Lonchura striata: one gene and its partner. The protein of the gene in region 1 interacts with the protein of each later gene in a pairwise test. Links are inferred from orthologs where the notes say so. Each region holds a gene or a part of one and is shown in the gene's direction. Other genes may lie near its edges.

Region 1 (6,982 bases):
AGGAATGCAGTTTCTGTGCCTTAAGGGTTCCCTCTGAGCTTCTGTTTTAACTCCCCAGCAGCAGAGCAGCAGTGCTTTAGGTAAAAGAAGCCCTTTGACCACTGGTATCTTTGTGCAGAATGCTTCGATTCCTCTGCCTTATGCAAAGTGAAGAATGTTTGGGTGCTGAGCTGGGCATTTGCGTATACAAATCAGTTTGGGTTCTTTTAGATTTACCTAGGTTTCTGAGTTTTGGGTGTCTGCTTTCAGAAACATAATTTTAGATTTCTTCTCTAGATATTCCCTATTCCATTTTTTCCCCACTCACCCACACTGTGCTTTCCTTTCTCTGCCAGCCTGAGCTATCAATTCCCAGCTCTTTGTTCAGCTTTTCTCCATGCCTAGATTCAGCCAGTAGATGCCTCCATATTTAGTAGATTCCAATTGCTTTATTCTCAATGTCCTTTTTCAACTTTGGCCCAGGTAGTTCATTGCTTCCTCTAGGGCCAACTTTTCTCACATATGCATCTAGTCATCTTCTCTTTATGTGAATGGTTCTCAGTTCCAAATTATTTGTTCAGCCATTTATAGCTTTTCCATCCCACATCCTCTTATGGTTTCAGTCTTATCACCAGTTCTCTTCCCTCCGCCCCATTTCTATCCCAGCTCCCCATCTAATACTCCTGTCCTTTGAGAATCTATTTCAAATCCCTCCCATATTACCTAGAAAAACCAATTTTCTCCCCCAATCCATCTTTCAATCCCACATTTTTACTTCCTCCTCCCTCTCAAATTGGTGTGATCCCTTCTCTCTCTGAAGTTCCAACTATTTGCCCCCCAACCTTTATTTTGATGTGCCTGAGGGAGATAACATTTGGAGCACAGGACACAAAGGCTGCTTGCTTTTGGTTCAAGTGTCTGAATTAAGTTGAAGTCCCACATTAGCCCTGACATAAAGGCATAGAAAACTCTGATGACCCCTGGACTGGACCCCACTGACCAAAAAAATAACTTCTTCAGAGGATGGAATGTAGAAAGTTCTCACTGAGCATATGCAGACTGCATTTTTTCCCCCATAGTCTAGAACATGCAGCGACTCAAGCTCTCTATCATGAAGCCAGTTAAAAGAATATCCCTGAAATGAAAGCAAGTTGCTGTCAAATATACTGAAAGAAGTAAAATATGGAGTACAAAGAGTAGGGATACAAAATGGCTGTGCAGAGGAAAGCTCAAATAAGCAGGACCAGCATTACCCAAATCTCCTAAGTCCCTGTAAACTCAAGTTCTGTCAATAAGGTCAAGTGGCTTTGCTCTGTACACACCCGCACTCTGTGATTCAAAAACTCAAAGGAAACAGTGAGGATTAGGTTGGATATTGGGAACAGATTCTTCACCCAGAGGGTGGGTGGGCACTAGAACAGAGCTCCTAGGAAAGTCACAGCAGGAGCCTGCCAAAGTTCAAGGAGCATCTGGACAACGCCCTCAGGCACCTGGTGTGAATAATGGGGCTGTCCTGAGCAAAGTCAGGAGCTGGATTTGATGATCCTTGTGGATCCCCTCCAGCTCAGGATATTCTGTGATTCTGTGAGCACTTCAGTGGATGAGTCCTGCGGGGTCTGTGCTTTGCACTGAGCCACCTCAGCTGTCCCACCAGTGCTGTCCCACCGCCGGCAGCAGGAATCTGCAGCCACTGAGGCAATTTTACTGCCTTGTCCTCAGAAACTGCCGAGCCGCCGAGGAGGTGGTAAATTCGTGACACAAAGAGGCAGAGAAACAAATAAACAGAAATAGAGACAAGAAATTAAATGGCATGACAGAAACTACCAGGAAAAGAAGCCCAAAATAGAAAAGTAATATATAGAGTTTCTGCCTGGATACCTACATTTGGGCAGAGTCACAAGCACCTAAATACATAGCCTTTTAATAAGAAGTTAGGTAGTCTTTTCCTTGGTTTTCTCTGTAGTTATCCAAAATTGCACAGCCTGTCACTGCAGGCCACCAATTTCTGTCATTTTTGAACTTGATTTTGAATTATGTGGTGAAAGACACTGTATGAAGCACAGAGCAATAACTTCAGTAATTCTTCCGACAAGGAAGAATTTTCCCTCTCACTCACTTTTTAAGCACAGGCCCTGAGACATCTATTACATGTTGCTTCACTGTTCTTGTACATTAGTTTCATCTGAATACAGGATGAAACTTCACACACTTGCTAAACAATTATCTAGTGTTGCAGTGCACTAGAAAGTAGTTATCACAATCCACTACACATCTGTTTTGGGTCAGTGTAAACATTGAAATTATATGTTTTATTTGCATATCAGTTTTGTTATTAAAAGTAGTAATATCATATTATATCACGTAATATTACATAATGTAATATAATATAGAAAATTCTAGAAAAAAGTTTACTATTGCAACAATGCTGCCACCTGGTAACCTAATGTGTAATAGCAGACAAAACATCAATTTTTCCCGGTCTTGAACATAGCAGTATAATTGAAATATTACTTTAAATCACATTAAAAATAACAAAATCTGCAAAGAGTTATTATTGGATTAGGATCATTTCCCTGCATCAGATTAAATCCTCATAGCTGGGTTTCATTGTGAGGAAGAAGTGAGACACAAGCCCTTTGAAAGGTTTCAAGTGAAAGCAAATAGCCCAGATTTCCTGACTCCCAGTGAAATACCTCAGGCACAAGACAGTCGCCAAATATATATCATGGTAACTTGTGCTCCACTAGAAACATAGGCAATGGAAAATAAACACAGGTGACATCCTGCCCATCTTCCTCACTCATCCATAAAAAATTGCTTCAGGGAAAGGGGAGGAAGCATTTGGCCTCAAATCAGAAGAGATATCAGAAGTGTTTCTTGCACGTTCACATTTGTCCTACCAGCCTACTGAGGGAGTCAGATGTGAAAGACAGACACAGAGCACAGTGACTGATGAGCTGCTTGCACACTGGTCTATTCTGAACTTCATGCCAAAAGAGGAAATACTTTTAAAATTTGTTTTCTACAAGATAGTAAAGCTGGAGGAAAAATGAAAACCACACCTTTTTTTTTTTTAATTATTTTTTCAATACTAGTGGTGGCTAAAATATGCTCTATGTTCAGCCTCCAGAGTTTTTCTAGCAAAGCTTAAAACTCAAAATTGATAAAACATCATGATAATAAAAGAATGATTGTCCACAGTTACTATTTTGCCATATGCTAAATATATGAATAAGTAAAAAGCAAAGATTGGAGCATGAAATGGCCATACAAGAATAATTTTCTAGTGAGATTTTCCCCCAGATCTTTTTTATATGATTAAGCAAAACTGAAACTTCTAGTGGTATAAAATAGAACCTTGGAATGATTTAAAAAATTATATTTAAAAGAAGAAAAAAAAAACAAACTTGCTAGTTATCAAGAAACGTATGCTGTGGATCAAGTGGGTGGATAGGAAGGGAGGACTAAAACTATATAAGTAGTGTCATGCTTTCTGCTTGTGACTGCAAATGTCAGTATTGTGTAAGTGTCTCTGCAAAAGAAAGTTCTTTCCTTAAAGTTCACAGTTAGTTCTACAAATACAGTCTTTGGCTGAAGAGCTAAAAAAAGAAACAACAAAACCAGTATGTGAGGGGCTGTTCAGCTCTGACCCAATTATGATAAAAACAAAAACTGAAATAAGTAATAAGAACGTAAGCAAATGCACACTTAGACTAAGCAGGTACCAGCACACAGGAGATGTAGCCATCAGATCTAGTTTGCTGCATGTGCTATAAACGTGGCAATACATGCCTGGAGCTAGAAAATGCACCGCACACGCGTGCAGCATCACACTGTGCTCTGGTTTATAGCAGCAGACCCGTGGTAGCCACTCCTGGGTGGCCTGAGCTCCCTGGCTCCTGGAACTTGGCTATATTTAGCCCGGCTGATGTCGCCTGTCAAGTGTGTCCTGCTGCTGATAAGGTGCCTAGTCGACAACGGGGGGGATCGAGGGGAGGAGCAGCATGGGGGCTTCCATCCAGTGCTTCTTTAGGGGGTCTCAAAAGCCCTGCAGTCACATTCCCGTGTGATTCATACCCTGCTTCCTAGATGCAGCTGGGAGCTCCACCAGAAACAAAGTGAAGATGCCAGAGCCGGTAAAGAAAACAGGTAAGGATCGTAACTGGCAGACAAAACTAAGAACAGCTTGACAGGAAAAGTGTGAGTAGATTATGTATTCTAGAGAAATGAGATGTCTCAATGGAAAAAAATAAATAGATAGGAAAAGGAAATTTTATTTTATTAAGTTATAAATGTAAGAGATATTGAGTGATCTTGAAAAGAAATCACTAACTGCTTTGATAACCTCAGCCACAGAATTTTCTCAAGAGACTTTGGATGAGGAAGAAATAGAGGTGAAATGCATTTAATTCTCAAATGCTTTTAATTTCTCCTTTCCTTTCTGGTCACCTTTAGGACTCAGAAAAAAAAATAAGTAAAGGCTTGTATTGACTCTCTTGGACAGTAAATAGTACAAACCTCTCCTGCTTTTATTTCGGGTTTGGGTTTTTTTCCCCTGACAATTTGTAGAAGAAATATTGCCAAAAAAATTGATGGTGCTTATTGTGAATGAAATCTCTGTGAAAATGAAAGCAAACAGTTCCTGGTCAGAGTTTATTCTTTCTGTTTATTTCAATGACTGAGAATAGAACTCTAGGGAAAAAAGGCTTTTGATTTATACTGTGAAGAATACATGCAATTTCTTTTCTCTTGCCCTTCTTCATTCTTTCTCCTTGAGCCAGAAGATAACTCGCCCTTTTCAGGAAACCAAGGTCACAGGGCCACATAGAAAAATGCCAGAAAAGTATTTCAGATTTATGAATGTTTTAATTAAAAATCTTCAAATAAGGAATCACTCAGATGCTGCCCACATAGAGGAGGCCTAGAACAGGGTACAAGGTGCAATGGATCTGCTGTTTTGATGAGGAAGAGAGCCTGGGAAGAAAAGGAAGAGGCACTTAACTTCAGGACACCTGCAGAGGAAGACATCTCAGGAGCACTTTGCATCCACAAGTTTGGAAAAAAAAGCTGACAAAATCTGAATTTATGATTGTTTGTCAATTGTAAACATATTCAATAGTCAGGCCTGGAGAAACTTGTACTAAATCTGGGATTCTCCACTTTAGAGCTGTCACTTCATTGATGCCAGTGCACACCCAGAATCGCCACTACCTGAATGTGCAATAGAAGGTGCACATGTTTTTAATCATGTGCAGTTTCCAGAGTTAGCCAGTGACAGCTGTGGAGTTTTTTTAATAATGGCCTTTGTGCTTTGCAAAGGCCTGAGCAGGCATTGGTCTCCTCTCAGTTTGGCCAGTGAGACAATCTCCTATGGTCACAATAACAAAAGAACTTGCTAAGAACCTTCATTTGACCAAAACATTTGAAATCAGCCACTGCCAGAGGCAGACCTATTACACACCCAGAGTCTCCCCCATTACAACCTGCAAAGCACCAAAGCATGGTTAACTCCAACAAGATTCTTTGTGTTCCTTCTGTATGATAACCCTAAAACAACAGTGATGTCAGCAACCCTTCCATTGTATTACAAATATAACATCATTTCATGTTCATGAGGTTACCATTTCTAATTAAAGTAGATTTGTATATAAAAAAGAAATATATATTAGATCCTGTAATTGTACACATAAACGTGAAAATATAAGCTGCAAAGGTTCAGTAATCACTCCAAAAATGAGAAAATCATACTCATATTCTGCTTTTAAATCATACAACTTTTAGGTTTTATTGAAAATGTCTCATTGTTGTGAATGCAGACAAAAATAAATACAATAGAGTAGGCAAAATTTGACAGTGATACCTTGGCATTATGACTTCTGATTTCTAATTGTTTAACTGCCTTTTAATAAATATTTTCATTCTCTGTGGGTGAGAGGCAGTGTCTCTGTTTGTGAAGATGCCCACTTTTGCTGGCTAATGGTGAAGGGAAATTCTATTCCAACTTATTTCTCCAGAGAAATCTAACAGGTGTCTAACATCACTAGTCCCACGCAGTTCTTATGAGCAAGCTAGACCAAACACTGGGATTATCACAGCAGGGGGAGGAAAAGCTCTTGTTACTCACTCTGACCGAGACAGAACCAGTCACATGCCCCACAACTTTTAGAGAGGATCTTCTCAGTCTCCCAGGAGACACTAATCCCTTTGGTTTTCTATTTCATGTTGTTTATACAGTTCAAACCATTTCAAGATGGGATAATGCTGAGCATCATCTCAGGAGGGCCAAATAACCACTGGGCAATTCATACTTGGATAAATCACAATTCCTGCCTTTCACACATCATATAGTTGGATTACTGAAGAGCCCAAAGAAATCCCTAGTCTGTATTACTGAAATTTGTGCATCTGGTGTATAGGCAAAAGAAATTTCTTCATGTCAAAGAATGACCATAAATATTCTGCTTATATCTGCCGTTTTTACAAGGCTTTTAACACATAAAAGGAAACAAACAACAACAACAACAAAAATAAAACCAAAACAACACCACCCAAAAACTAAATAAACAAAACCGCCCAAAAATTCCCACCAGAAAACCAAAAATCATTGAATAAACCATTAAACTTAAAATGGCATGGTGAAGTAGATATTCTTTCACTTTCAACTGCCCAACTAAAATACTTCAGGGTAAAGCACTCCATGACTTATTTCAAGAATGCCAAAAGTATTGTCTTTGCATTTTAGAAATTCTACACCATCCACAAGAGCAACAGAATGCATAAGACCTGTAAGAGTTTAGTGTCAGAGCAAACAATCAAATTTTGAAAATCACCACTTTTTGCAGGATTCTGTTGCAGAAACTTTATGTTCTTCTCTTTGATTTAAACTCTTCATAGTTTATCTTTGGAAATTTTGATCATTTTTTTGTTCTGAAAATTCAGAAATGTTAAACAAACCCCAACCATTTCCCTAACAATATTTTTGACATTAGGAGGAAATAGTTGA
Region 2 (7,531 bases), about 9.9 Mb from region 1:
AATTTGAAGGCATACTCCACTGCCCTGTCACTCCAGGCCCTTGTAAGGAGTCCCTCTCCATTTTTCTTATAGGCTACTTCCAGGTACTGGTACAATTGTGTCACCCCAAAGCTTTCCTTTTTCTAGGCTGAGCACTCCCAATTCTCGCAGCTGTTCCTCATAGGAGAGGTGCAGAATGGATGCAAGAATCTCATCCTTTATTTGGAACTGATGTGTGGCAAATAATACTTTGGAGAGTGAGAGACTCAGAAGAACAAATTCCTCTGACTGCCACTCACCTCCACTTACACTGCCCGTGCCTAAACTTCTCAGCTTCATACCAAGATGCTTTAGCTGCATCTCTGACTCCCAGTGCCTACCCCACGATTTTACCCTTTCAGAACACACTTAAGATGTTTTAGGTTAATTATAGAAGTGCAGCAGCACATAAGTGAGTGAGAGAGACACAGAGATGATAAGAGCCTGTAATTATGTGAAGGGTTTAAATGCTGAGGAGACAAGGAATATATAAAGCATGAAACATGGGCTAGTACTAGGGTGGATGAGACATTACTAAGAAAGGGGAACACCCAGTGAAGTCTCTGGAAAAGTTTACCAGACAATGTAACTATTAAATTGGGAGACTCTTCTAGGAGAATGATTTCTCACTTGGAAGGTTCAAGACTTCAATATTTCGTGGGGAATAATTTCAGACTTGTGATGACTGCAGAACTATCTTCTCTGGCTTCTCTTGGTATGTCTGCATACACAGAAAGATTAATAATTGCACAGACATTGATAACAACACATGGCTCCTTCGTGACAGTGACTCTTTCATGACAGTGATTTTCACCATATATTACATGTTTGGCATTCTAGTCTCATCAGGACTTCTGCCTATCAACAAGACTGCTGCAATGCTGCTTATATTTCTAAAGACCATATAGCTTCAAACAGTGAGACAAAAGAGACAAAAGAAAACCTGTCAGAATGGCATTTTCTTATTCTTGAAAATGTTAAGTTTCTTTCAAAGACTACACTGGCCTGAGGCTTAAGAGAGGTAACATTTGGCTCTGTGCTAGGACAGATTTTATATGTCAACATCCATTGGATTTAGAAATAGCAGATTTTAAGTGAGAAGTTGCTGTAGAATCTGATAGGTCAGGATATACTGTATGTAGAATTGCTTGGTATATTATGAAAAAATTATTAATTTTATTGGGACATATACAGAAAAAAAATCATAAACTGAAAGGTTGAACTAAAAACTACAGAGAGGACCTGATCCTACACATTTGCAATTTCTGATCACATTGCTAAATACTGTAAATAATCGGAAGGTTTTAAGTGTTCTATCCTTTAAAGCTTTTAAAGACTCATGGCTATATTGTTAAGCTTTTGTAATTTATTTTTTTTTATTCAAAAGCTGAATAGCAGTTGTGAGGATTTCTAGGCAGTTTGTTCACATTTTTACCATGCAGAGGTAAGGACTCCTGTTCTGATTCTGGCTGCAGCCACAACAGTGTCTTGTTGGTTGAACAACACATCCAGTTTTTCCTATATGCATGTGTCCCCTATATATATGTACATGTCTCTCTATATATACAGACATACATGTATTTAATTTTTCTCCCCTATTAATAATCATACACATGAAGGCTTCATGCTCTGGTGTGCTCAGGCTGTTCTAGGGACATGCAGATCACGTCCACTGCAGATCTGTCTGCTCTCCAACACCCTGTACTGCCTGTTTCCCTGGTCTCTGGGGTCACTCCCACCAGCTAAGTCATGAGAAATGTACACAGCATGTGGGGGCCCTGGTCAGAGCTAGAGTGTTACTCTTCTAAATGACATTGCATAACATATCTCAGTAGGTTTTTGCTTCTCTGGTTTACTTGAGACTGTGATAACACTGTATTGAAGAAAGCAGAATTATTTTGGCCTATTGAATAACTTAGCTGGGCAATTTTCAAGTGGCTACAAGGAAGGAAATGATGTTTTGGAATTGCGTATGTTGTGTGGTGCCCTTTTCATTTGACCTTGCAATGTATGGGAGTGTGCTGGCGTGTGGATTGATGAGTTCTCAGGCTCACCAGGATCCTAACTGTGAATCCTGCTGGATTAGAATTGTAAAACTTGAGATAGAAGAGAAAGCAAAAATAATTAGACAGTAAACAAGAAAATCCAAACTGTTTCATAGATTTTTCAGTGAGAGCTGGCTCTGTCTCAGCTTCAGGAGAGCCTGTCTCTCCCTAGCCAGAGGGAATGTAGGATGTGTCAGAGAGGGTCTGATTGGGGAGGAATTCAATGCAGCTATCAGCAGTGGACTTCTATGTAAATACTGCAACACCTCTGAACCGAGCAACAGCTGAGATAACACTGTAAACTAATCTGTACTGCTGGCGAAGCTGGTCAATCCCTCACATTAAATGGTTTCTGTAGAAAAGATGTGCAAGGCAAAAAATAAGCACATTTAAACTATATATGGCAACTTACCATGGGGTAAAATATGCTGACTTTTTAAGATTAAGAGCAGTCTTTGGTATTTTTTTCCTTGAAAGGGTGCTCTGTGCCAGGGTATATATGCTTACAAATCCTTGCATCTGTATGAATTCTTGTATAAGCAGGCATCACTATCAACAAAGTATTTCCAAGTGTCTGTTTTGTGTGCCTGATCAATTTAGATGAACATATACTTGCTTGGGGTCTTTATCCCACCAGTATTGCTTTTGGTTGATTTTCCATCAAGGCAAAGCAAACAAAGAGCCAAAGCTTGTCCAGAGCAAAGGCACTGAATCAGTGTTTTGCTGCTTTGACCTTTTGAGGTCACTGCATTTCAAAGTCCTACACAGCCTTTCTTAGGTAGTTAAGAAAAAAAATCAATATATAAATAAATACATATACACACATATAAATACATGCATATAATATATATATGGGCATATATATTTATATATACTGATGTATTAAATATACATACACAACTCTCTACAAAAATGGTGTCTCACCTGGAACAGGTTCTCTTTCCTTGCAGCACTTAAAAGCAGGAGCTTATCCAAGATGTTTGTGGCTACCATCTCTTTCAGAGCTGTGCTCATAATCTGGCACAAACCCAAGATAAACTGGGGTTGGGGTGGAGCTAACCACCTCATTAATTGTGCTAGAAAAAAGGAAACTGATTCCACAATCTCTGATTTTAGAAGAAATTAAAGTCTGAGGGTCTCTGACGCCCCCTTTGGATACAGTTTAGAAACAAATAGGGATTTCCAGTTGTCACATGCTTTGTCTGAGTTAAACCACCGTGCAAAGATTGCTCTTCCCCCAACATTTCTCAAAGCCCCCAGACTGCAGCTTGTGTAGCATTCACAAGCTCCTTCCTTCCACATAATTTAAGACGTATACACCCATCTCATGTCTGCCAGCCTTTGTATGGCATCTCATAAGCTGGACCTGTGTTTAAGCAAATGATCCACTTGAGCGTTCCTCTCTTGATTTTGAATCTCATCATTCCCTCCTGTCCCAAACTTCAATTCTCCCTGCTGCATCCTAGCATTGTTTCACAGGCAGACATGGGGCATTTTACAAGATGAGCTCCTGGAGGACACTGGACTCCACATTATAGTAAGTTTCTCTGGGACATGAGTTGACAATCTCTGCTTTCACATACCAGGCCAAACCCACTCAAGGGATGCCTCTCCAGTCTTTCTATTTTTAACAAACAAAAAAAAAAGTCCTGAAGACACATGGATTTTCTAGGTTCCACCGCTGGAGCAAATTATCAATGTGGATGTTTCAACAACTGAGCAGGAAAACAACTGTCACATTACATTAATACCATAGCTGGGTTTTGTCCAATCTATTTCCATATCTCGTCCTCTGCCCTAGACATATCACTATCTCTTACAGATCTGGTGCGCGTTAAAAGAGCAAAGATGAGGAGTCTAAGTATATGCATAAGTGAGTACATCCCATTTTCAGCCAAAAGCAGAGAAAAGAGTGATTTTTGCAGCATGTCCTCATCAAAGTTTAAAAGAAATTGAGTGTGCACTGCTCCTTCCTAAGGCAACACAGAAGAGCAGATGCCGCCCCCACGCAGGAGAGGAGCCTCAGTTGTTGGCACCGAAGTAACCTAATCACTCGTTGATTAAATAGAAGCTCGACTGGGCTTTTCTTTTCGGTGGAAAAATGAAAAGCCGGGGGAGAGAACACCCGTGCGGCTTCCCTCGCACCCTCCGCCAAGCCCGAGCATCACGAGTTTGAGGCGCCGCACCTGGCCGGGCACCGGCGGGCGCCGAGCCCGGGGGCCGAGCCGGGCTGCGGCGGCCCCGGCCCGGCCCGGCCCGGCCCGGCGGCGCTGACCCCCGGGGGCTACGCTGGGCTCCCTATTTGGCCATGCGGCGGCCGGGGCCGCGCTGCCCCGCGCCTGCCTTACATGGGCCGGCGGCCGCGCCGCGCCGGGGCCGGCCCGGCTCCATTCATGGCTGCGCGGCCGCTCAGTGGCGCGGAGCCGACCAAATAAGGAGAAGGTGGCTGCCCCGGCCCGCCGCGGCCCCGGACGACGCTGCCCCTCGGGGGGTATAAATTGGGGCGTCTCCGCCGAGCCAGCACCCAGGGTCTCCTCCGCTGCCCCCCGCCGCCGGTGCTGGTCTGGTGAGTAGCGCGGCGGCACCCGCAGCCCCGAGGGACGGGCGGGGAGGCTTTGGGTGGGATGGGAGGGTCGGGACGGGATGGAATACACGGGAGGGATGGAATACACGGGAGGGATGGACAGGAGGCACCGCCGGGCGGCGGACGCCGGTCGTGCAGGCGCGGCCGGAGCTCGGGCGTGCAGCTCCCGGTCGGGAGCTGCTGCTGCCGGGACACCGCCCGCCGAGCGCGCTGGACAGCACCGATCTCTGCGATTTAAACAGCTTTCCCTCCCTTTTCGAGCTGCGGCTACAGGGGTCCGCTAATGACGCTCCAATTGAGCGTCTTGCAAGCTGGGGCTGCTTTAAAGCGCGGAGAAGAAAGCGGCTGACGGATCCGGTTTAGAGCCCTGGCCACGAGCCGTCGAGCATCCTCCCGGGATAACTCAAATTTCCCGCTCCCGCCGCAGTGATCCGGCCGTGCCCGCCGGGATGGCGGGCGGGAGGGCGCGGAGGGGCTGCCCGCGGGGCTCTGAACGTGCCACCGTGCTGTTTTCCAGGTTCGTGATTCCTTCCCAAGATGTGTGACGACGAGGAAACCACCGCACTGGTGTGCGACAATGGCTCGGGGCTGGTCAAGGCGGGCTTTGCCGGGGACGATGCCCCCAGGGCTGTTTTCCCGTCCATCGTCGGTCGCCCGAGGCACCAGGTAAATTCACTGGCAGGACACTCCATAAAAAGTGTTTTCTTAAATTAAAACATTTACAATTTGTATTTTTTTTATTCTGGATAAATTGCTGCTAAGGTTGCATAGTAATATGAAGTATTTTTGATCAGTAGAATGCTAATTTTCCTCTGTATTGTCCTGTTTACAAACTCCTTTGTTCATGATATTGTGCAGTTTCAGTCAAATTTTTGGAAATCAGAAAGAAACAAATAAGAAAAAAAACTATGTATATAAGAGGTGTATTATAAATGGGGGAACATCCATTCATCTCATGGAAGGAAAAAAAGATTTTATGAGAACCCTTCCAATTCCATTAACTTAATATTTTAATCATGTTAAATTTATTTTCCTGAATGGCCTTTCAGGGGTGTGACTGTTTGTTCCTTTCTTGAAAATAAGATAGCTGGAATTGTAGAATCATAGAATATCCTGGCTTGGAAGGGACCAACAAGGATCATCAAAGTCCAATTCCTGGCCCTGCATGGGACAGCCCTGGGTGTCACACTGGGTGCCTGAGACAGTTGTCCAAATTCTTCTTGAACACTGTCAGGGTTAGTGCTGTGGCTACTTTCATGGGGACCCTGTTCCAGTGCCCAATCATCTTCTGGGTGAAGAACCTTTTTCTAATATCCAGCCTAAACTCAACTTGACTCAACTTCAGGACAGTTGTATGTGATGTAGTTGTTTGGGCTGTGTTGTCTTCCTCAAATAATGCTTTTCTGTGTTTTCTTCTCTTAGGGTGTTATGGTTGGTATGGGTCAAAAAGATTCCTATGTGGGTGATGAAGCTCAGAGCAAAAGAGGTATCCTTACTTTGAAATACCCAATTGAACATGGCATCATCACCAACTGGGATGATATGGAAAAGATCTGGCACCACACTTTCTACAATGAACTCCGTGTGGCCCCTGAGGAGCACCCTACTTTGCTCACAGAAGCCCCCTTGAACCCTAAAGCTAATCGTGAAAAGATGACTCAGATAATGTTTGAGACCTTCAACGTACCTGCTATGTATGTGGCAATCCAGGCTGTCCTGTCTCTGTATGCTTCTGGTCGTACAACAGGTAAAATAAACAAATAAACACTAGATTCTATTTCCATTCAGGAACTCTCCTTCCTTTCCATTCCAAATAGGAAAACACACCATAGCTCATTCAATTTGCAGAAAAATAGGTATTTATGGTTTATAGCAATTAATGATTAAAATAGCATAAAAGTGAATACAAAACAGGTCACATTGTTCTTTCCATAGACAGTTTGCATTGCTTTTGGAGAGGCACCATGGAACTGACTGTGCTACTGCTTGTTATGGTGCAAACGAGGAGACATTCCTGTAGGGATACTGCAGTTACAGAAGTGTTACACCAGTTTAAGGGTTTAAACTGGTCCAAAAGATGCCCATTATCAGATCAAGACAGTCACTATAATATTACTACTGCTCAGTATAGTAGCAATGGAAGACTGGTCTTATGGATTATCTTAAAATATGTATGGAACAACTATTCTGTGTGAAAATTCATACCCCACAGGAATGTCCAGACAAGCAAAGGCAGAAAGAATTGGAATGATCTTTGTGACTGAAAAAGAATTATGCCACTTTATACTGCCTGAAAAGTCCTTTATTTTGTTGTGTTTCTTGCTGCTTCCTGTGTGTAAGGGCTCTAAGCATTCTCTAGGTGATTCCAGCTGCTCTCTGACATTTCTTTTCCAGGTATTGTTCTTGATTCTGGAGATGGTGTCACCCACAATGTACCCATTTATGAAGGGTATGCTTTGCCTCATGCTATCATGCGTCTGGATCTGGCCGGCAGGGATCTGACTGACTACCTCATGAAGATCCTCACGGAGCGTGGATACTCCTTTGTGACAACAGGTCAGTCCTTCAGCTCTTCTCTACTGAGAAAGTCCTCATGTCTCTCTTGGCTGATCATATTGTCTAGCATTGTGCTGATCCAAAGCTTGATTTGATTCTCCTATATCTACAGCGGAACGTGAGATTGTTCGTGACATCAAAGAGAAATTATGCTATGTTGCACTGGACTTTGAGAATGAAATGGCCACTGCTGCCTCTTCCTCCTCTCTGGAAAAGAGCTATGAATTGCCTGATGGTCAAGTGATCACAATTGGTAATGAACGTTTCCGCTGTCCTGAAACCTTATTCCAGCCATCCTTTATTGGTAAGTGTTCCCAGGAAATTCTCC

What was found. The genes of interacting proteins can lie anywhere in the genome.
Region 2: the proteins of MYBPC3 (region 1) and ACTC1 interact in a two-hybrid assay, tested with the Homo sapiens proteins (2 studies listed by IntAct). The link is inferred for Lonchura striata from reciprocal best matches to the Homo sapiens genes MYBPC3 and ACTC1.

Annotation. Positions count from the first base shown.
Region 1 is NC_134608.1:39,281,691-39,288,672, reverse strand, and holds the start of MYBPC3 (myosin-binding protein C, cardiac-type), read left to right. Parts: upstream 1-3,970; 5' UTR 3,971-4,103; coding exon 4,104-4,128; intron 4,129-6,982. UniProt on the Homo sapiens protein: Thick filament-associated protein located in the crossbridge region of vertebrate striated muscle a bands. In vitro it binds MHC, F-actin and native thin filaments, and modifies the activity of actin-activated myosin ATPase.
Region 2 is NC_134608.1:29,402,758-29,410,288, reverse strand, and holds the start of ACTC1 (actin, alpha cardiac muscle 1), read left to right. Parts: upstream 1-4,531; 5' UTR 4,532-4,629; intron 4,630-5,164; 5' UTR 5,165-5,184; coding exon 5,185-5,313; intron 5,314-6,069; coding exon 6,070-6,394; intron 6,395-7,041; coding exon 7,042-7,203; intron 7,204-7,315; coding exon 7,316-7,507; intron 7,508-7,531. UniProt on the Homo sapiens protein: Actins are highly conserved proteins that are involved in various types of cell motility and are ubiquitously expressed in all eukaryotic cells.